Linked DNA regions of Schizosaccharomyces pombe. The protein of the gene in region 1 binds, or shares a complex with, the protein of each later gene. Each region holds a gene or a part of one and is shown on either strand. Other genes may lie near its edges. The genes, in order: ptr8, tfb1, rad15 and ssl1.

Region 1 (5,628 bases):
TATTTGAGGTAAGTTTTTTTTTTTTTTTTTTTTTTTTTTTTTTGGAATCTTCGCTTCTTTTAACCTCAAAAATTTAGATATTTATACTGTAAATTACAAACACAAAATCCTTCTTTGGCCAATGACACTCATATTTTTAACACATTTTTCTATAATCGTCTTACTTCAAAAGATAAAGATGGGTATGTAACAGGCTTTACTTCTATCAATTATTTGATCACTAATGGGTAATATAGCAAGCGGCTAGGTCATAGAGGAGTTCGAAAGTGGACTCAAAAAGTTGACCTTTTCCATAAAAAATACATTATTGTTCCTATCAATGAAACATTTCATTGGTATCTAGCTATTATCTGCAACATTGATCGATTAATGCCTGTGGACACAAAACTGGAAGAGCAGGATGAAATAGTTATGTCGTCTGTGGAACAACCGTCTGCTTCAAAGACTAGACAAGCAGAATTAACGAGCAATAGGTATGTTAAAGGTTTACAATTTTATTGATTAAAAGGAAAAATATATCATAAATCATTTGATTCAGTTTACTAAGTTAATTATAGTCCAGCAATTTTGATTTTTGATTCTTTAGCAAATCTTCATAAAGGAGCATTAAATTACTTACGTGAATATTTACTGGAAGAAGCTTTCGAAAGGAAAAATGTACATCTTAAGTCCACTGATATACGGGGGTTTCATGCAAAAGTCCCGCAACAAAGCAATTTTTCTGATTGTGGTATATATGCGTTACATTTCGTCGAACTATTTCTTGAAACTCCTGAGCAAGTGATAGCCAATACTTTAGATAAATCTCTTAGACGGACGGATGCTAAAAACTTCGACCAACAGTGGAACCTTCAAAAGATTAACACGATGAGATGCGATTTGAAGGGTTTAATTCGCCGTCTGTCAACTGAGTGGTCGTCTAACAATGAACGACAATCGCTTAGCAGCGGAAGCAACGATGAAGAAGATAAAGAAAATGATGATGATTTGGCAATATTGCCAATCACAAATTAGAATTTACAAGGGAATTAGGGAAATCATAATTTCATATTAAAACTTAACGAAAGCATTATTATCAAAAATTTTAGCGTAGAAAAATCAACAAAATTCATGTCTATATCGTGTGTATGCTAGCATGTATAACTTCGCTAGCGACGTTTAGTATACAGGTGCTTCCGAAATAAGGCATGATGTTCTTTACTGTCCTTTTTCAGCTGTTTATTAGCACTCTTGTTATATTCCACGTATGCCATATTGTCGGCACCAGCCAATGTACTTAAAGAACCACTAGAACGTTTAGCTTTCGCCGGTGCTCTAGAGAGACTTCTGGATCCAAAGCTAGTATCCTCACCGTCATCCAAATCAGCTGCTTCTTCATTTTGTAGCAATACTTCCTGCAAAAGCTCAAGTCTCTCCGCTTTGGAGGCGTAAGCCAAATTTGGCAAGTTCTCCATACCCTTTAAATTAGTGATGACTTTAAAAGCATAGCCTTGGTCAATTAAAAATGCTTGCCGTTTACTGGAATAATACATTTCCTGAGTGTCTTTAGATACCAAGCTATAGAAAAATGCGTTAAAGCCTTCATCATTTCGTCGCTTGGCACGAAGAATACGCCCCAAACGTTGAGCTTCTTGACGCCTAGAACCATAATGAGAAGAAATCTGAATCAAACAGGTTGCTTCAGGAAGATCAATAGACGTATCACCAACTTTAGAAAGGAAAATGGTATTTACAAGTTCATTATACTGGAAATTTTCCAAAATCCTCATTCTTTCCTGCTGTGGAGTTCCACCATAAATAAAATATTTGCCTAATTTTATTGCATAAGCACGCAAAGCATAGACATTGTCTGAAAAAACGATAATTTTATCACCACGTTTTTCGTGATAATCGATGAGGAATTGACAAGCCTGAAATTTTTTAGGATTCATGATATAAAGTAGCATTCTTTTTCGGGAGTTTTCTCGAAGATATTCATTATAAAACTCAGTGGTCATCGCGCACCAAACTTCGGCGCATTGAACCTTAGCGATGTGACCTTTTTGTGCCAAATCCATCCAATTTGCTTCGTACATTTTAGGCCCAATCAAAAAATTTAAATCATCAATTTTATCATCCTCACGAACTAACGTAGCAGTTAACCCAAGCTTTGTGTGAGCGGCAATTGTGGTGACAACTCGCCGAAACATGGCAGCAGGAACCACATGTACTTCGTCTAATAGGATAAACCCCCATTCACGTCCCGTAAGAAAATCCATCATTTTTTGAGAATCATAGGATCTATTCCTGGTATTGGCAACCATTGAGTACGTGGAGACAACCACACCTGCTTCGCTGTGAAACCGTTCTTTGTGATCAGCAGTAAAAACCGCAATGTGATCAGGCTTGATGTTGCTCCACTGTAAAAATTGTTGACGCCATTGCATTACCGAAACAGAACTGGTGCAAAGCACGATTACTGATTTTTTGATAGTACAAGCCGCTGTGATACCAACCAAGGTTTTACCAGCTCCACATGGTAATACAATAATTCCACTTCGAGCTCTACCATTTCCAAACATTTTACTAAGACTCTTTTCTTGGTATGGACGAATTTGAGTGCTTGGCTTAAGGTCTATAGGAAGATCTGGATTGATGTTGTCATTACGAAAATCGTACTCTTCCAATAAGGGATAATCAATCTCTGCACATCTCTTCTTGATAGTTTCCACTGAAGAGTGCTTAATTTCGAAAAGATGAACGGCATCTTCATCATCTTCCTCTTCCTGTAAGCCTACTACTGCCGAAAACAGTTCATCAGATGAACTTTTCTCAGCAGTTTCTTTTGAGGAATCATTGGTGATATCTTTTTTGTCTTCCACATTATCTTCATTGGAAGGCTTTGAAGACTTCTGCTTGCTAGACTGGGTAGAATAATCGATTCGAAGAGGGCCTATGACAGGATCTCTTAATAACAGTCGTAAAACACTTGCATCTCCACTTTCAATAAAATATCTGTTTTTCTTCAAGACCAGTTTGACCTTACCGTAAGAGACAGTACAAGCGCGGATAAAGTCTACGATAGAAGGAGGAATTGGGGTTTTTGAAAGTCTATCAAGGACTGCTATTATATCTTCAGTTTTTAACCCAACGCTAACAGCAGCATAAAGTGAATATGCAGTAATTCTATACTCATGAATGAAAGCGGGTCGAGAAACTGGCTCTGAAATTGTTACCAAGAAGTCGATAGCTTGCTCAGCCAATGGGCTGAATGCTTCAAGGATAATTCTACCATCAATTGGATTAATCCAAAGTGGCCTAGCCGTATGATCCAATTTTAAACCTAGTAAATTAGAAAAATCGTTTTGGCCAAACATAGCAGAAATCCCAGATTGGCGGGCTTCATTGCTATTAGTCGTGGTTTGTGCTTTAGTTTTATTGTTGTTTATACGAATCCTGGGTGCAGGCTTGTAAGAATCATCATCCTCTTCACCGTAATTGTCAACATCGCTGTAATCGCTATATTCTTCTAAATCCTCGTCAGGTGTCCCTTCCCTTGCATTATTTTTTCTCTTTAGGCTCATTATTTAATATGAAATGTTTATAAATAGCTAATGACTCAAACTCTTTGAAAATGAGTTGCCGTATGGCAATAATAATTTGCAGCAGTAAACGACAAACCAAGATGCGAGGCCAATCAAAAGAAATTTAAAGCAACAACTCTCAACTGATTATTAAGTTTCGTAACTTTTCAGCTGTCACTTTTAAATTTATAAGCACAAAAGAAAAGGAGGTTCTCCTGTGGGTGTGTGTGTGTTAATGGCAAATCACTAGTAAGATGAAGCGATTGTTAGTACCACCAAAATACTATCATTTTAATCGAAAAATATAATAAATCTAAATTTTATCTTGGGATTAATCACTTTTGCTAGGTAATAAGGGTGAAGAGGCAGAGTACCCTGGTGCAATTCGTTTAAGCTTTTCAAGACGCTCTACTTCAAGATTTTTTTTCCAGTTTTGATAATTTTCTGTTAATTCTTCATCTGTGGGTAATTTGGTTGACATAACATCTACATCTTCAAGATTTATTCGAGGCTAAAATAGCTTGATTAGTATATAAATTGGCATCCCAAACATACAATTGTATTTACGCCATTCTGTAATAGATTAATTGACTCCTCTGGGAAGGGAGGTATTTCAGGTATTAGATTTTTATTCGGTATTCGACGAAGCGACATTATTAAGTAAGAAAGGTCTTATAGGCAAAGGTTAGGTGTATACCAGTGCTAACATTAGCATGCGCAATGGATTCGTAAACTTGATTCTTTAATTCGAATGAACATCTACTTTATGATACGAAACTCATTTGAAATTTTCACTGTTAAACAATCATTTCGTCAACAAACGTGTTTACAATAACCTTATTGTTAAGATGTATCAATAAATCATAACTGAAACCAAAAAACTAACGAAAGATACATACAATGCACAAACTAAATAAAAAATTATTTATTTGTGATTTGTATGCTTATGCTGTCGTGAATCGAGATTTGTTTTAGTCAAATTTTCATGTTAGTTGAATTTATCCGGTTTGTACTAAGTTCAGTATACCTACTACATAAGAAATCTCATCTTTCGTTCATTTCATTGACATATCTCCTTTTATTTTATATCATTTCTATTTCTACGACTTTACTTATAAAACTTAAAGTAGTAAGGACGGTGGAATATCGAGAACAAGTCGTTTGTGCGAATTCGTGATGCATATTGAATAAACTCGGTTAACTCACCATTTTCTTGTCAAATTGGGTATCTTGATAAATTATATTTAAATTTTTTTTTTGCTTTTTGCATCGTCGCGTGAAAAAACAAAAAAAAAGAAAAACGAATACCAAATTTAGAATTTGCAGTTAATTAATTCAAAATAATTTATTACTTTATTAACACTGTGAGAGATTTGACATCTGGAATACATTATTTCTTTACCCCATAATTAAAAATGAGTTGGCGTCCTACTCATTCAGTCAGAAATGCTCCTTACTCAATGAGAGATAACTATGCGCAAGGCGTAGATGTTTATTACAAAAAGGTAGGAGGGACTTATCGAAATTTGCATTTTCGGGGATTACGACTTTTGCTATTGCAGTGCTTAAGTCATTTTTGGGATCATGATGAAAAGTTTAAAAGTCACGGATTGCATGTTATAGATTTGGCATGTGGAAGTGGGGAAGTTTCAGAAACAGTTATAGAATGGGAGCATTTAGGGAGGGAACTGGGTATACATGGAGGAGCTTTTAAAGTCCGTAAAGAAATTTCTATACGTTCTATTCCACCAGAATTACCTCCTTTTGAGCTTATAGCTACGGACCCATTTACTTTAGAAGCCTACACAAATCGCATTGGTAAGCCATGCTTAACGCTAAACTTTCAGGATATTGCTGATGAAAAACTACCTCCAAGTAGCGCTGAAGATGGCATATATGACCTTGTAATATGTTCTTTTGCTCTTCATTTACTTACAGAACCATCTAAACTATTCTCTACTTGTTATGCCTTATCTGTTCAATGTCGCTGGCTTTTAGTCTTGGGTCCTCACAAAAAACCTGAATTGAAACCTGAATGGGGTTGGGATGCTTGGAATATAGACAC
Region 2 (5,401 bases), 1.8 Mb from region 1:
GTTTCAAAACATCTATAGGATTTTCACCGGTTTCTTTTTGTATGATAGAGAGCGCTGTTGCAACAATCTTTTCAGCTTTAGCTTTTTTCCCATCTCGCATTATTAAATTCACCAAATGCTGTACTGTAGAGTCGACCTGAAATGGTCGATCTATTAACCCTACAATTGAACTTGACGGAGAAGGCCACAGATTTGTACCCATTAGCGGCGGTTCTTCATTTTCAACTTCAATTTTTTTCTCTAATTCACCCATAAAATCGTCGGAGGCAGACTGTTCGACAGAATCTTGAAGTTGATTCAGTAAATTTTCGAGTCCCGCATTATCCCATTGTGGATTTGAACGTTCATTGATATCTTCAATTTTTTCATTATATTTTTCATTTGAGGTAAATTTTCCAACTTGAAAAGTACGAGTCTGATGGATAAAAACAAGCGACTCTTTCATCAAATGTCCCGAACTCGCACATCGAAACAAAGGTTGCTTTATGAGTCGTAGCATGGCCCTTTATTGTTTGTTCTTTCTTCTTGAATGAAATTTTTAAAACAATTACTCTTATTAATCAAAGCATGTAGGAAAGCTAAGGTGTGCGTAGATGTTTAAGCTTAGTACATATACACTATGGATAAATGAAAGAAAAGGGAAGGGAACTAGGCGCTAGCGTGCTACATTTCAAAGTCGTTTGGCTATTTATTTATTAACTTGAAATAAGATAAATTAGGTAATCGATGTTAAAATATTCATCATTAATTGTGTATCCAAATTTAATACTTGAGCTAGACACAGTTTTATTGGGATCATACAGAACTGATACCTTGAAAGAAAGTAAAAAAAAAAGTTATATATAATATACAGAGAAGCGATAAATTGAAAAATTGTAAAAACAAGCATTTAAAACAAAAGAGAGAAATTATGGGACATTAATTAATTGAACATCAGTTTATAACATACTATATTCGTGTCATAAAACGAATTTTAATAAATAATAAAATCTATAAAGACATAAAAACATTAGATTTTGGCCTATGAGCACAGTAATCTAAAAACAGTTTTGATTGTCTTTTGAATCTATAAACCAAAACAAAAGTTTTTTAATTCAAGAGTTGTATAAACAGAAAAAGAGCCATATCCAGCATTTCAATGTTCATTTTTTCCAGCCTTTATGAAGAAAGAACATTAAGTCCAATAAAGAATATATCAATATATCATTAACCTCTATATGGAAAAACAGAAACAATTACCTTTTACAAGCACAATTGAGTTTCCAAAGACATTATCAAACCTAAGCAGGAGGATAAGACATTCGTCTTTGATACTCCGAGATTGACGTATCAATAGAAGTGAGCGTACAGGATACCAACTAATCCTAGTTAATAATCAAAATCTCTACAAAAAAAACTTACCTCATAAACCAGTTTTGGATCAACGTTTTGTTCCTGAGCCTGGCTCGCAATTGCCTCCACCCTTTTTTTCGAATTTAACAGAGCATTCTGAAGGGGGGCCATCGCCTTCTTGTCCGGGAAAGTTGTATTCAACAAGGCATTCCAAAATTGATGCAAAAATTCTATCGTAACGGTATGGCACAAAACAATTTCATTTTTTATGTCAATAGGTAAATTTGATGCAGTGCCGTGGGTCTCAAACTCATGCTTTTCGCGCATACTCTGAGTAAGCTGCATAGCGGCTTCAGCCAAAGAGTCAGAATCATGTTCAATGTGATTTAAGCTTATCGAATCTTCCTGGTATAAATGTTGAAGAGCTTCCAATGAAGGCAAAGGCTCTAAACCAACTTGATTTTTTGAGGGGACAAAATTATTTTCCAATAACTGATCTTGACCTTTGATTTTTAAGACAACTTTAGAGTCACTGGCTTCTTCTTCTAAATCGTGAAAACCAGATTCTTTTAAGTATGTTTCTTCATTTTCGTTGTTAAATCGTTTAGAGTTTCTACAAGTTGTTAGGCATACCGAAGCAATAACAATTAATAAAACCGAATATACATACCCCAAACTTTTTTCCAAAAGTCTTTCCGAAAGCTGATTGATGTTTTTCATAAACGGTAGAGCTTCTTTGTCAATTCGCATAGTGATATCAGGTCTAAGTTCTGCTATTACATTTGCATTTTGATCATTTCCTTCTAAATCAAAGAGGTGCGATGCAATAGGTTCATCCGATACTTTGGTTACCTCTTGAAAATGTTAGAAATGGAATTCATCTAGGTTGGAGAAATTACCTTCATTATCTTTTAAATACTTATCCATTATATCATCAGAGGGATCCATTGGTGTAATTCTGTCGCCACGAAGCTTTTTACAAAGCTTGGAAAGGAAAAATCTACTCCAAAACTCTCCTTCTGCTAGAGGAGGCACATGCTTGTCATATACCTTTCGGAGCAATGGATGTTGTTCAAACATATCGTGAATTTGCTGGCCGGTAAGGGAAACTTTCATTTGGTTGTCCACTGTTTTAGGTTTAATAGTAGACAAGACATTATAAGGACCACGCTGCTGAGACCTTTCTACAGCATGAGCGCGGAGCAAATGAAGCCTTGTGCTCCAAAATTGCTCATTACTTAAATGTCCCTTCATAACTGCTTCCTTAAATGTTTGTAAGAGATCGGGATTGTTAGTAAGCAAAGACTCTTGTAAGTCGATGTCCTTTTCTAGATTCGTAGAATTTACACGATCGACATTGGCTCCTTGTGGTTTAGATTGAGAGCCTTCCCTTTGTCTTTGTATCGCATTTCTCAACTCATTAGTAATCATATCACAATTTTCTCTGGCATTAGGAGTACCGGTGAAATGAAATACTAAAGAAGTGGGATCTTCACCTTCCTTTACTACTATAAAAACACGAATCATAACTTTTGGATTAGACGCTGGAGTAGTTTGAAGATCTATCAATCTGTCAGTAATCTCGAAAATGCAACAATTATTATTACTCGAAATTGCATCAAAAGCAATATCTACTGATGGTGTTGTTTTCCCTTCCCCCGTCCATTTTAATCTACTATCGATAGATAATACGCCTGCATGTTAGAATCATTGATTTAATTGTTATTTTACCTTGTTTTTTTCTGAATATGGCTAATGCTTCTACCCTGTCTCCCATCAGATATTTTGGTAGTTGTGGAATACACCGCTAGTCTTTTACGAAATTATCAAGATTTGTTAGACACAGGATGAACATTGGAAACTACGAAAATCATTAGAAAAATAAAAGTTTTGAATGGTTTCTTGATGTCCCAAATCATATACACTTAGATTTTGGGTAAATATATCCTCATTAAGTTGAGCTATGAACATAGGTAACCTATAAGAGACAGTTATCTAAAACTATAGCCCTGTTTTATTTTTAAAAAAATACAATATGAATTAATCATATACGCAATCAATCCGACCCTTCAGAGCAGTAGACAAGAGTGGTTGTTGTTCCATAAAGTACAATGCGTTTATCCCAGGTAATACGATATATCTCAGCCAAAGAGAAAGAACCAACATGTGAAAAGTAATAAACTATCACTACTAAAAGTTCAAAAGATTCGTAATGTCCGCCAAAAAACTGATAGTGGCTACAAATAGAATTTGTAGAGTAATTCAAATGTCTAAATACGTTCCTTTCTAACATAATTCCTGGTAGTATTATCAAGTAATTGTTTCCAAAACATGCAAACTCTTTAAACGTAGCATTAAGTATGAAAGAAGTTACCTCCATTCGAATCAGTATGGAAAGACATGAGTTTATATATGTTTTCAAAGTGACTTCTGTTGAATGACTAGAATTTAGTAGCTAATCCCGGATAAACTATTATTAGTGTATTTCAATTAGAAAAACAAAAAAGCAAGAATTTTAATAATATAAGGCTTTACGTAAGTTTCAAGATTTATTGTAAGAAGAAACGTTTGCACTGCTCTCTGAAGAATAGGGAGAGAATTGTTTGATGTCGAGGTCTTCATTTGTGGTCTCGGTTAATTCCTCTGTCTCTGGTAGTTTACCAGAATCCGTGATTATTTGCTTTTTATCTCCTTCCTCCGATGCGTTTTCAGCTGCTAGCAATTCTTTAGCACGGCGATTCCTTAAATTGGCTCTCCGCCGGGATGCTCTAATAGGTCTCGAAGTTTTTTGCTCTTTTATAACCTCTGGAGTGAAAGGAATAAAAAAATTTGGTAATTTCATTTCCATCTTTTGATAACAGTGTTCTAAACGTAAAACATTACTATGAGTAATTGCCTCTGCATACATTGCAATGTGGGATTTTTTTCGAGTTTGTACATCATCGGATTTTAACAGTAATGATAAGTTTCGAGCGACTAAATTACGACGTTCAACACTAGTATCTCTGTTAAGAAGGTCATCAATTGAAGAAAGAGCTTGTGAATACACATCTGAACATGTTAATCATTTTAAATCAGAAAAAGGCAAGCTCTAGATAGGCAAGTTTTGATAAGAACAACATAAACTTATTATAAGCCTCAGTAGCGTTCAAGTCCTTTTGAATAACATATTCAAGGTTCAAACAAGTCCTAAGCAGATTGATTAAACATTAACAAAGAAAATCAACACCAGAACGGTTTCACTAGTAATCTTTCATTTTTTTGTTTATTATCAAAACCTTCACAGTTGTTCAAGCAAAAAATCCCAATCTATAATGCCACTATCACTTACCCTTTAGTTCAGCCTCTAAAAAACGGACTTCCGTAAAATTTTTGGATAAATCACCCGGTATAGCTTCCAATGCTAAATAATGTAAGAAAATTATTTATTTACACATGTTCATTTATTACCGTCAGCAAGTTGTATAAGAAGATCCAAGTCATTTTCCTTTTTTGGTTTTGCCATGGCTGACGACTTGTCGATTATATACAGCTATTCATGAGGATTCTTTCTAGTTTGACTTTTATTACTTGCCCAAGGTTAGCATTGCTTTTTGCTTCCTTTTGTTTACGTCTGTAATATAAGTGCAATCGAACCAAAGAATCTCGGTTTTCCACTTATAAGGCTTGCTTCAAAGCTTTTTCAAAACTTTATTTTATATAGCTGTTCTCCAAAACACACCTAGCTTCTTTTACTTGAGTATGAACTATTGTACCTAGTTGGTAGTGGTCGTTCATGAAATGCGTTAAACTAGGAAAATATCGTCCCGAAGAAATACGGGATCCTCATGGGTCAGTGATCAGTTTTTATAATAAAGTAAAAAATTCAAGTCATTTTAAAGTATGTTCATTTCAAAAGGTTGCTTGCATTTTAGTCAATGGCCAATCCGTCAGCTTAATTAAGCACATTCATGTTTTCATACGCTTGCTTGGCACCTCTGGTTCTTTTAAGAATACAAAATTATTTTTTTAGTGATGGTCCCAGTTTATTCAAAACTATCTCCTTCTAAATGGGCTGAGAATCTGAGAA
Region 3 (6,409 bases), 1.1 Mb from region 1:
CCATGTATTCCATACATAATGAAATGTTGTTTTTATACTGAAAAGCTCCATAAAAACCGACTATGTAGGGTGAACGACAGTGGTGTAGAACACCTAACTCTCGCAAAATCTGCTTCTGAAGTTTAGAGTCTGACCCAACATAAACTGTTTTCCTAGCCATAAAAATATTTCTATGCTTTACCAATGAAACAGCCCCACCATTTCCCTCTCCCAAATGCCTCACTACTTCCAAACTGCTATTGTCCAAATCAGATATCCAAGCTGGGCGTCGATTCATATGCGCACATTGCTCCATAAATGCTTCGACATTGGATTCAAAGCTTTTTTGATTGTTAATTAACTCTTCCTTATGATCATTATCAGAGCTTTTAACAGAGGCGTTAGGATTCAACACAAGACCTTTTGGATTTCGACGTCGTTTAAACATTTCTAGCTATTGGCCAAATTCTCAAAGAAACCTGTATCGAAGATTATATCATTTAAGATACTATTAAAGTTGCTTCTTTTTCTGTAATTTGACAGCTGACTGTATTCAATAAGTTACTTTGCTAATCAAAGATACAAAGCAGTAGTTATGACAGGATTCTGACTACCCCAACGTGACTAGAGACAACCCTTGCAATAAGCTACACTTATTTTTTTTTCTATATTTAAGAATTCCTGAAAGCGGTATCCTTTTTGTGCTAGAGTAATTTTTTTATACAGTAGTTTGGTAAAGAAACCATCATTGATCTTATATGTGCTTGGCAATTACGTATAAGCCAACCGTGAATCCGTAAAACCAAAAGATTTTTTATTTTCAAGAAATTTATATATTACATAGAATACAGCAATGAATCAGTTGTACAACCCCAAAACGTTCATTTATTTAGAACTAAGTATGGGAGACTAATTTTATCGACATAAAACTATCAAGGAAATTTTTTAGATTATGAGAATATATTATGAATATGTAAACTTTTGTTTTATGTATCTAAATGATAAACAGATGTTTTGTTTATATAACTAGGCTTACAATTACTGCATCACGTATTTTAACTAGCTCGCTTAATGTAAGCTTAATTTCCATAGCAGCATGAAATTGCCAATAATCACTCTTTGAAACGCTGGATTGTTATTGATGGGATGGAAAATTTAAGAAGCATTACAACAACTGAAACCGATTTTATTTGAACACAGTCTCTAAAAAAATTTTAAAGTACTTCGAATTTAGCGACTCGCAAATTAATTGCCAACTGAGTGTAAATAATATTTTTTCTCTGCTCTGCGATCTTAAAACAATTCGTAAGTAGCATGCGTATCGTGATGACGATTGAAATGTCCACTATACAACTCTCGAATACAAGTTGATACATACATTGTCCACACCTACAAAAAAGTTAGCCATTCGCTTCCAAATATCTTCATCGCTGTGTTCATGAGTTTTGGATTGCCTTAGTAAAGATGATTAGAATCAAAGTATTTTACAAATGGCTTCTATTAAGTTTCAACCACATCAATATCCATCTCATCCTCATGTTTGGATTGTTCTATAGCCGCAGACTTCAATGCTTTCTTCTGATGAATCAACAAATCATCAAGACTCCACCAAGAAATCCCTTCCTGATCAGACGCAGTGAAAGGCTGTGCCATAGTTCGTAAAAATTTTTTCGCCAAAGCGAGGGACATATCAGTGCTTAAATTTGTAGCGCCTTCGGTTATATACTGTTGAATCCATTTAGGTAATTTTGTACGCTTATCAGACCGACCATATCGTTTATCTGCTAACACCATAATTCCATGATCATCTTTTCCACGCAAAACGCGACCTAAACATTGGGCAGCATGCCGCATGGCATCAAATGTTAAGAAATCTGCTTCCCGAATTTGATACGTATCCCTCAGAAATTCTAACCGTGCTTTTAAAACACGACTCTCAGTATACTGATACGGAATACCAAACATGATTACTGCTCTACCATAATGATGATCAAAATCCACTCCTTCTGAGACTTTTCCTCTAGCGACTGACAGCAATACTGCTCCACGGCCATTGCTGCAAGCAGCCCGGTAAGTCTCTAAGGCGAGAGTTGTTTCATGAGGATCTGGTGTTTCCACCAAAATCAACTTATACTTCCAGACTTCATCTAGAATACCCATACTTTGCCAACTAGAAACAATACTTTCAAGGTAGAGATAACTTGGAAAAAATGCGACTAAGCCATCAGGTGTAATTTTCGAAAACTCAACCAGTATATTACCGTAATTGCGAACAACACTAGGATCATTACGGGCTTCAAATTTTGAAGAAATAGCTACTTGATCGCTACCCCGAGTAACTACCATAGGAAGGAAACAGTTTCGTGCAAGTGACATTCCATACGATTCCTGCATAACAGTATTAAACTGCAACATCTTGGGGTACATATCGAGGGGGGATAAAGTACCACTCGTGATAATCACAGACCTAAATCTTTCGAAAACTGGTTTAATAGCTATTGAGGCGTCAAGACAGGAAAACCGCAATATTGGATTGGGAACTGTAGCATTTTCTGTTTCAAAGGGTTCCAAAATTAGGATAAATCCACGCTCATAAGTAGCAACAAGGGTCGCAAAAGCTACTACTTGCTGCAAAGAATGAAAATCTTCAACTAGTGAAATTTGTAAGGCACGAACAAGACTAGTGAGTCGCTCAGCGCAAAACCGAAGCGGCTTTTTGTCTATAAATGTAATGTCTTTAACATGTTGCAAAAAAGAAGTTGGTGTTTCAGCAATAACGTGCAAAACTTTCATCCTTGTTTTTAAATATTCTACAAAACGCTTCAAAAATGCAATAAAATGTTCGGCTCGTCGAATATTTCCAGGAACAGCTTCCTTTAAAACATCCTCAGGCAAAACGGGATTCGCCATAAACTGGTCTTCGTCATTTGCGGCATTAGCATCTTGAAGGCCCCGAACAAGCTTTTGGTATTCATCCTGAAGTTTTTTTGAGTCAGACTGTTTTACTTCGTTGACTTTTTGCTCAAGAGACAAAATGCTCTTCGAAGCTTTTCTCAAAGAAGATTCTGTCAAATCAATACTTAAAGACTCAATACACACATTGTCAATATTGTGTGCTTCATCAAAAACAACAATGCAATCTTTACTGAGTTCTCGAGAAACTCGTTCAGCAATTTTGGGGTCTAGTAAATAATGATACGAATAAATAATAACATTACAAAACGGTAGCATACGACGTACAGTAAAATAGGGGCATCGTGTAGTTTTTTCGCCGTATTCTGTGATATCATCAAGGGTCCAAACACCGTTAGATATAAGGCTGTGTGGCTCAAGATCTTCCAAATTGTCGTGGAACTCACAAGTAGGAACATCCATACCAGCCAATCTTTGCTCCCGCACAAAACCCGCCGTAAGTGAGCGACAACGGGCATCTACCACATTCCCATTTTTTTCACGACGAACAGAAGGGTGTAAACATAAATTTTTGCGACTGGTTAGTCCGAGACCCAAAAATGGTTCTTCATATCCTAACTGTGAAGTCCGATACGCCATTAAACGCTTCAATTCAGCTAATGCTTTATCAATTTCCGACATGGTACGTGAACAATAGATGAGCTTGCGATGCTCAGGATAATGTTGTTGATATGAAACAATAAGGGACAAAAGAGAAATGGTCTTTCCAGTACCCGAAGGCATTTCTAAGAGCGCAATGCCTCCCGCATCCAAAGAATGTTTCAAATCACACATATACTGATACTGCTCGGGATAGATGCGTGGATAAGGAAACAGAATAGGTAGATCGTCAATATAGAACTTCATTATGGGTGTAATCCGTTGACTTTGAGGAAATTAATTTGAGTATATGACAGCCTATTGGACCAAAAAAAAATTTAGGAATTAAATAATAAGATAAAAAGTTGAAACAAAAGAATTATGAACTAGCATTGATGAATAATAGTGGGTAAAGATCGCTTAACAATCGCTTCATAAAAATGAAATGAATAAAGCGAGAAATAAATTTTTATGGGTATTATAAGAATGAGGTAGGTTCTGCTTTGGTTCAATATTTAGTCGTCAATCACTGATACACAAATATGAATAAGTTCACAAAGATAAATAAATAAACATGGGATGGAAGAGGGTAAAACAAAACGAACCAAGAAATAATTCTGACCTAAGGTTTAAGTGAGCTACTTTACAGTGAGAATCTCAGGAGAAACTACTTGTCGATCCAAGCTTAAAGAATGAGTCCTGAAATTAACAGTGGCTGCTTTATATTTGTAGTGCATATAGAACTGGATTATGAAGAACGCTGAGTTGGTACGGTAAACATTTATAAGCAAAATACTGTAAAGTACGTTAAATTGGATAATATTCGTAAATACATGGTGTACATACAACTATACATTGATGGAAATGACATGGTTAATGGAAGATGCAATTGCTTAATAAATACTAGTTTATTGGAAAAAAAATTCGTATTTTCGTAGTTACCGAGCATAAGCGCTACTTTGTTTTCTGAAAACAAGTTTCCGCAATACTACTCCTAAATAAACACAAGGCAAAAAGAATACATTTGCAATATTCCATTTATTTTGTTTTACAAGTCAATTCCCGACTCTGTAGACAAGTGAAAAAGGGCAAACTCACATATAGCTGCTGAATCATTTGCAAACTAATAACCGCTTATTCAAGCTTAATGAATATTATTCTAAAGAGGGAAAAACAAATACATACGTATCAGGATAAAAAATAAAAGGAATTAGAATCGCCAGGTGAGCAATAAACAGCAAGTCACCGAAGAGTTATCTTCTTGAAATCATACAGAATACTATATCAACAGTTTTTGAAATGAATGAAGTGGTTTTTTATTATCCCGTAATCACCGGTTAGTACAGTTTACCGGTTTTAATGACATTCCGTATGTTGAGGAGACAATACGGATTGATTTGCCTGTTCACTTATGTGTAGATGATAAGGAAAAGTGCTTTATCAATTTTTCACGAATTATGAAACCCATCAGCAATCATGTTTAATGAAAACATACCCAAGGTTGACATCAAGCAAATCAGCAGATCGTCAAAACTGTTACGTTTTATTTTACCTAATGTCTCTTGGCAATCTCTATCAATCATCGATGACAAGTATTGTGAAAGATGAAAGATGATTAGTAATGATCAATCTTGATATTTTAAAAATCTCTCCCATTCACTAATTTCTGGCTAATTAATTAACTCACTACACATCTAGTATATCGACGAGTATCCGGCTTTCGGGTATAAAAGAAGAGCATGAAATTCCACGAAAACAAACTTAACGAATCATTCATTAGCGATGCTACAAAACAATATACTGTTGGAGTTTGCCGCTCGGTAACAAGAAAATGGCATTCATAACAACGACCCATTCCAACCGTAATGGGCCATACTGAGTTTTTCTGTGGTTACTCAAAATCGTTGATCAAATTCATGGTAGCTGTTTCTTGATTCACTTTTACTCGGGACTTGTAAAGCCGATTTTCGGAAAAGTGTGATGAATAAATGACGCTGTCGGAAACAACTGGTATTTTTGGGTTGGCGAGTAGGTTATTTTCTACAAAACATACAAATAATACAATACATTGCTAGCAAAATCAATAGTGCATATATAGTACTAATAACAAAGAGTATTTAAAAAACAACATATCGATTTAGCAGAAAAAAATGGGAAGGAAGGTATTGAAATAGAGGATAGATGGCATGGCTCATTAAATGTAGGAAACCAAAGTAAGGATGACTGGTTTGAGATTATTTCCTTACATCCCGTAACATGCAAAAAAATGCAGCAATTTAACACGGTGGAGGGAAAGTATCGAATTTTTTTACTGGTAAATGTAATATATTGGATTGAAACAACTCCGCTTGCCATTATTAAATAAAAAATAATTCTTTTCGTTAACTAAAAAGTGAAATCAAAATTAATTTAAAAAAAAAGAAAAGTTAAAGGAATACTATGCTACCAATATTTCCCTCGAGTTTATATTGATAAAGCATTTAGCTAGGCTTACAAATAAGTTGCTTGCTTCATATATATCTTATTACCTGTTTGATAGTGAAAAACAATATTCAGCCCCAACGGTTCGGTTCCTTTTTGCTTAATTGTACTACCACACAACACAATACAAAGCTTAAATCCTGAACCTAGGAAATGGGTATGCGGTCCGTTCAACGAATGTTGAAGTTGCATCGTCCTAGATAATCCTAGGAGCAAAAGCTTTGATTGCTTGCTCAGCCTTTGCTATGAGAAAAAGGAGTCGATAACTTGAGAACACAGCGATCGGATTTCCCTTTAAAGATGGAAGATTCATTTGTTACATAAGAAATTCATGTCAAAATGATTTCTGTTTACACTGCGTTTTATAGATGTTACTATGTATAGCAAGATTAATTAA
Region 4 (4,596 bases), on another chromosome or scaffold:
TGTGACAGAAGATATTAAACTGGCTATGATGGACGAGTTATTCCTCACTATTGATGTTACAATAATGCACCACTATGCATGCCATGTCTGGCAAAAATTGTTTGAAACGCAATGGTACGAGTATCCAGTTAATGTCATGAATCGCGTAAACAATGCCTTGAGAGGAAAATGGCACGAAGTTGCAGTCGGGGAAAATGGAAGTCTCGTAGTCCAAAATATGTTTGAGAACTGTGTAGAGAAAGATAAGCGTGAATGCATTGAGGAAATCATTTTTCATTTAGACGGTATTGCACGTGGTCAATGGGGAAACTGGGTGGTGCAACACATGGTAGAAAACGGACAAGGAGAGGATTTGAAAAGAGTCATTGATGCATTATTGAATCGTGCAGTGGAATTTAGTATTGACCAATTTGCCTCTAAGGTCATTGAAAAAGCAATTAAGTCTGGCCCAAAAAATTTCATTTCCTTATATCTAAAACAAATTACAAACGCGAGAGTTGACCGAACAAGGCAGCCTTTAATCGATATTGCATCTGATCAGTATGGCAACTATTTAATTCAGCAAATAATTCAACTTGGTCAACCAGCTGAGAAAAACCTTGTCATTACGCATATAAAAAAGCACATGGTTTCTCTTCGGGGAAGCAAGTACGGTCAGAAGGTTGCTTATTTAGTCGAGAAATGGAATTCTCAAAAACAGGTTTCCTCTGTAATCAACTACAACTGCAATACTGACCTCTGATCTGTAAATATAGGGATATATTCATTTCCACATTTTAATTAGTTTTTATTTTATATATGATACAGCTCTAACACTTACTGAAGCATCAATAGATCAAATTTTCACTATCTTCCGGATAAGGTAGTTAAGCAACGATCTCTTTAAATAAGTAAATTGAAATATATATCTCTTTACATATTTGTGAATAAGTAGCATAATAGTATTTTAAAATAATTATTATAAATAAATGCGTTCATTAATATACCAAAAGAAACTTTAATTTCCGGAGCATTGGCATCCATAACACTCATGAAGTTGTTCATGCGCAAAAACATCGCAATCCAAACAAAAATGATTTTTACACGAGGGACATGCATACCGCATCGATGAAGTAGATTCGTCAAACGGTGAAACCGGCGGCTTCGGAAAAGGTAACTGACACGCAAAGCAATGAGTGGACTTTGGATTTGCGGACCAAGGAATTTCGCTCCAGTTTTTCAATGGAAACAAATGATGATAAGATCGAGCAAGATGTGTTGAAAGGATTAGAACGAGAGAACAACTAGGGCATTCGATCGGTAAAGTACAAACTTTTGCTTTACAACGAGGACAATGAAACCCACCACGAGACGGAATTGAATGGCAAGCACAAAGACTTGGCAATTGCTCAACGACCTTAGAAGGAAATCCCATCATTACCAAAGAAGCATCAGTGGTTTTAGCCGAATCAGTAGCAGGAGGTATTGTGCTTTCGAGTAGAAGTTCGCGAAAATGTTGTTCACTGATGACTACGCCGTAGGCATTTTTCGTAGATGAGTTAGTTTTATTACAAATTTCTTTACAAATGGCGACTTCAGCAGCCAAACCAACGATACGGACACGAATAGAATCATGAACCAGAGCATCAATCGTCTTGAAAATGTCGCCAGGGTCTGATGATAAGATGGAACCAAAAATGATAAGGACTTCTCTAGTGCCATGGGAAGCAATGTGTGATAAAGAAGCTCTAGCCATTTCGAGAGCATTTTGAAGAGAGAAGTTTCCACTACAATCTCGAAGAGATTTAAGCTTCTGAATATGCGATTGAGGATTCCCATGCAAATCAGTTATCCGATGAGCGATTCCATCCATTACGCCTATAATCGATAATTGGGAAATAGGATTTTGTTCAAAAAACTCAAGAACAAATTCAGAAGCATACTTTATCTGAAGGTCGAACCGCTTATGATGAAAATCACGCTCCTCCATAGAGTTGCTCAAATCTAACACCAAGACCATGTGTCTAATAATACCTCGTTGTAACGGAGTTGTATCTCTAAGAAGTCTAAATCAGATTGACAAGTTAGTATACCGTTCATCGATGCTATAAAAGACTAATATGTTTCCAAATGCCCAACATAGGCAACTAACAAACAAATGAAGAACATAAGAAAACCAATTTTGATACGCCATACCTTTTACGTTTCCCGCTTTGAATAAGCCCAGCGATAACGCCTACTAAACTACCCTCTGCGTCCTCCTGTACGATATCCCAAGAACGCTGATATTCACCTTCCCAAGTATAACCCTCATTATCGTCAGTTTTCCTGCTTCTTACTTTAACTCTTCCATTTTTTTGTTCATCCTCGCTTTCCGACTTGTCAGAGTCAAAACTTTTTTGGTTCTCATTCATTGAGTGTTATTTTAACCGAGCATAGGTATTATGCCAGAACGCTATTTGATAATTAGATAAATGAATATTGCACAAATTCTATTCCTTGGTTTCTACAGACTAAAGAACTCAAAGCGAATGTATTTCTTCAAGTCACGTTTTACCCAGTGAACTTTTGGTAATTTGAATAGTCGCGTCGAGTTGCTTTACATGCAATGAGCGAAAGTTCTTTCTTTTATTATTTTTAGTTTTATTTTTTTAAAAAGCAATGACTCCTGGGCATACCAGTAAAATGGTAAGACTAAGTAAGTACTAGAACAAGAGACCATTTACACGAAGACAATACGGACAAGGAGCGCAACCATTATTTGTTAAATATAATAATGAATTTCGTTATGCTGCGTTAATTCGTGTTTATCAGTCTTTGATTTGTGATATGAAATTTGTATACAACTATTTCTGTTATTTGAAAAAACTTAGGAAATTATGAAAGTAAAAGAAGAATATAAAATAAATCTGTACTCCTCATTCTTTAAGGATGAGTTATATATCGTATTTTATAAAATTATTTATGGCTCGGTTATTTGTACAAACTGCATATTGCAATATAGTAGAGACTTAGAAATTTGCAAACTGCGTAATTGCCAATATTTTATGTAAAGCTACAAGTGATATGGACATAAGAAGAATAATTACTTTTCGCTTAGGCTGAATGTTGGATGGTTTGCAGGACGAAAGAGTTCATTTAATTGATTTTCTCGAACAGAAATTGGCTACTGACTAGGAATTGCGAAATCGCATTGTTTAAGAAGTTCTCGTTCTACTCCAAGGTCGATTTTTTCGTTTTTATTTGTCTTAGAAACAAATTTCAACTTATATTTGCTGTATATACTGGTTTTTAAAACTCCAAAACTTGAGAATGATGAATGGAATCCTTATTTCGTATATATCCAACAAAAAAAAAGGTTAAATCACTACTTTGCATCTTTTGAGTAATGTCTTAATTGAACAATTTTTTAAGTCGCAAATCTTACAAAGTCACAATTAAGGATTGTATATCAATTTGGTAAAACAATAAAGAGGATGATTAATCTATAATTGACAACAGATTCATTAGTTAAATGAATTTTCCTAGCACCACAAATACACATCGTGTTTGCTCTATAACAGAGACAAAAATAGTGATGACTGTCATCGAAAATGATTAAGTGATGATGCATATAAGATAATAATACAAGGAATAGAAATAAAGGAGAAAAGTGACTTTTGCAAGAAAGTAAGAAAATTAGTGATGAAATAAAAAAAACCCTCGCAACTGTTGGCAGCCCCTTGATTTTTTTCTCTAGCCATGACTTTTAGTTGCTGCCCGATTCTACATCTTTAGAAGTGTTGCAATCGGTTTCCTCAGCCATTGTATTGTCACTTGCTGGCTCTGTGGTAATTGCTTGGCCTCGCATAGACGACATTTCAACGTCGCCAGTCTCTTCATCTTGTTCTATTACTTCGAGCCCGAGAATAAACAACAGTAAGGATAAAATAATATGAGCCAAACCTTGAATTGCTTTAGCTACATATTTAGCTAGGCCTGCAATCGCTTTAGCTAGACCTTCATTCGCTTTAGCTACAGACGGTGCATAAACATAAGCTTCTTCAAACGCTAATTTAATTAACGAAAATGAAACTAGAAAATCGTTAGTCATGAATTCAAATCATCTCAAAAACTTACAATAAACAATAATCACTGTCATCACGTATGTAAATATTAACACTATAGTTTCAATAACATATTTAACCACAGAATTAAGATCCGCCAATGCCTGATCGAAATAATTATAAAAATTATGATAAAGCAATAAAGTAAGAATGAAAGGAAGGAAGATATGAAATATCGCATATCTAGCTTGTGTAAGTCGCACATTTTCCGAACGCTTTCTTAATCTAGCAGGTGCAGCCATTGTATTTTTTTTTCGTAACGATGGTTGTGTTAATGTTGAGTTTTGTTTGACAATTGGATTGTTTACATGATTATTGACTGAATATGAAGGACAAGAATGTAAACAACCCTTCTCCAAATCATTCCAAACTTCATTGTATTGAGGTAACTTTTCGTCTGGCATTTTGAAGAGCCTTTTACCAATAGTGATTATATACGTTTGAGTTTCAACTTGAACATTGCAAAATAAAATGCGAAATTAAAATATAAAATAGATAAATAGATCAAAAC

The links.
Region 2: ptr8 (region 1) and tfb1 share a complex: the UniProt entries of both Schizosaccharomyces pombe proteins name them as parts of the 7-subunit TFIIH core complex.
Region 3: ptr8 (region 1) and rad15 share a complex: the UniProt entries of both Schizosaccharomyces pombe proteins name them as parts of the 7-subunit TFIIH core complex.
Region 4: ptr8 (region 1) and ssl1 share a complex: the UniProt entries of both Schizosaccharomyces pombe proteins name them as parts of the 7-subunit TFIIH core complex.

What each region holds. Positions count from the first base shown.
Region 1 is NC_003424.3:1,759,722-1,765,349, reverse strand, and holds ptr8 (transcription factor TFIIH complex ERCC-3 subunit Ptr8), read right to left. Parts: upstream 3,804-5,628; 5' UTR 3,564-3,803; coding exon 1,149-3,563; 3' UTR 1,031-1,148; downstream 1-1,030. Other genes in the region: SUMO deconjugating cysteine peptidase Ulp2, read left to right, coding at 1-8, 78-182, 237-473, 558-1,014; SPOM_SPAC17A5.19 (uncharacterized protein), read right to left, coding at 3,895-4,074, 4,119-4,217; SPOM_SPAC17A5.05C (uncharacterized protein), read left to right, coding at 4,979-5,628. UniProt on the Schizosaccharomyces pombe protein: Probable ATP-dependent 3'-5' DNA helicase/translocase. Binds dsDNA rather than ssDNA, unzipping it in a translocase rather than classical helicase activity. Component of the general transcription and DNA repair factor IIH (TFIIH) core complex.
Region 2 is NC_003424.3:3,519,262-3,524,662, forward strand, and holds tfb1 (transcription factor TFIIH complex subunit Tfb1), read right to left. Parts: upstream 3,129-5,401; 5' UTR 3,110-3,128; coding exon 3,064-3,109; exon of another isoform or gene 3,027-3,063; coding exon 2,940-3,026; exon of another isoform or gene 2,895-2,939; coding exon 2,232-2,894; exon of another isoform or gene 2,187-2,231; coding exon 2,003-2,186; exon of another isoform or gene 1,946-2,002; coding exon 1,402-1,945; intron 1,359-1,401; coding exon 1,281-1,358; 3' UTR 912-1,280; downstream 1-911. Other genes in the region: rsm7 (mitochondrial 37S ribosomal protein uS7m), read right to left, coding at 1-499; SPOM_SPAC16E8.18 (uncharacterized protein), read right to left, coding at 3,389-3,712; protein Png3, read right to left, coding at 3,875-4,383, 4,664-4,735, 4,783-4,837. UniProt on the Schizosaccharomyces pombe protein: Component of the general transcription and DNA repair factor IIH (TFIIH) core complex, which is involved in general and transcription-coupled nucleotide excision repair (NER) of damaged DNA and, when complexed to TFIIK, in RNA transcription by RNA polymerase II.
Region 3 is NC_003424.3:662,171-668,579, reverse strand, and holds rad15 (transcription factor TFIIH complex subunit Rad15 ), read right to left. Parts: upstream 4,233-6,409; 5' UTR 3,799-4,232; coding exon 1,480-3,798; 3' UTR 933-1,479; downstream 1-932. Other genes in the region: MAP kinase kinase Byr1, read right to left, coding at 1-427. UniProt on the Schizosaccharomyces pombe protein: ATP-dependent 5'-3' DNA helicase, component of the general transcription and DNA repair factor IIH (TFIIH) core complex, which is involved in general and transcription-coupled nucleotide excision repair (NER) of damaged DNA and, when complexed to TFIIK, in RNA transcription by RNA polymerase II.
Region 4 is NC_003421.2:382,270-386,865, reverse strand, and holds ssl1 (transcription factor TFIIH complex subunit Ssl1), read right to left. Parts: upstream 2,676-4,596; 5' UTR 2,394-2,675; coding exon 2,176-2,393; exon of another isoform or gene 2,046-2,175; coding exon 998-2,045; 3' UTR 819-997; downstream 1-818. Other genes in the region: meiotic pumilio family RNA-binding protein Mpf2, read left to right, coding at 1-742; SPOM_SPCC1682.06 (uncharacterized protein), read right to left, coding at 3,728-4,053, 4,099-4,489. UniProt on the Schizosaccharomyces pombe protein: Component of the general transcription and DNA repair factor IIH (TFIIH) core complex, which is involved in general and transcription-coupled nucleotide excision repair (NER) of damaged DNA and, when complexed to TFIIK, in RNA transcription by RNA polymerase II.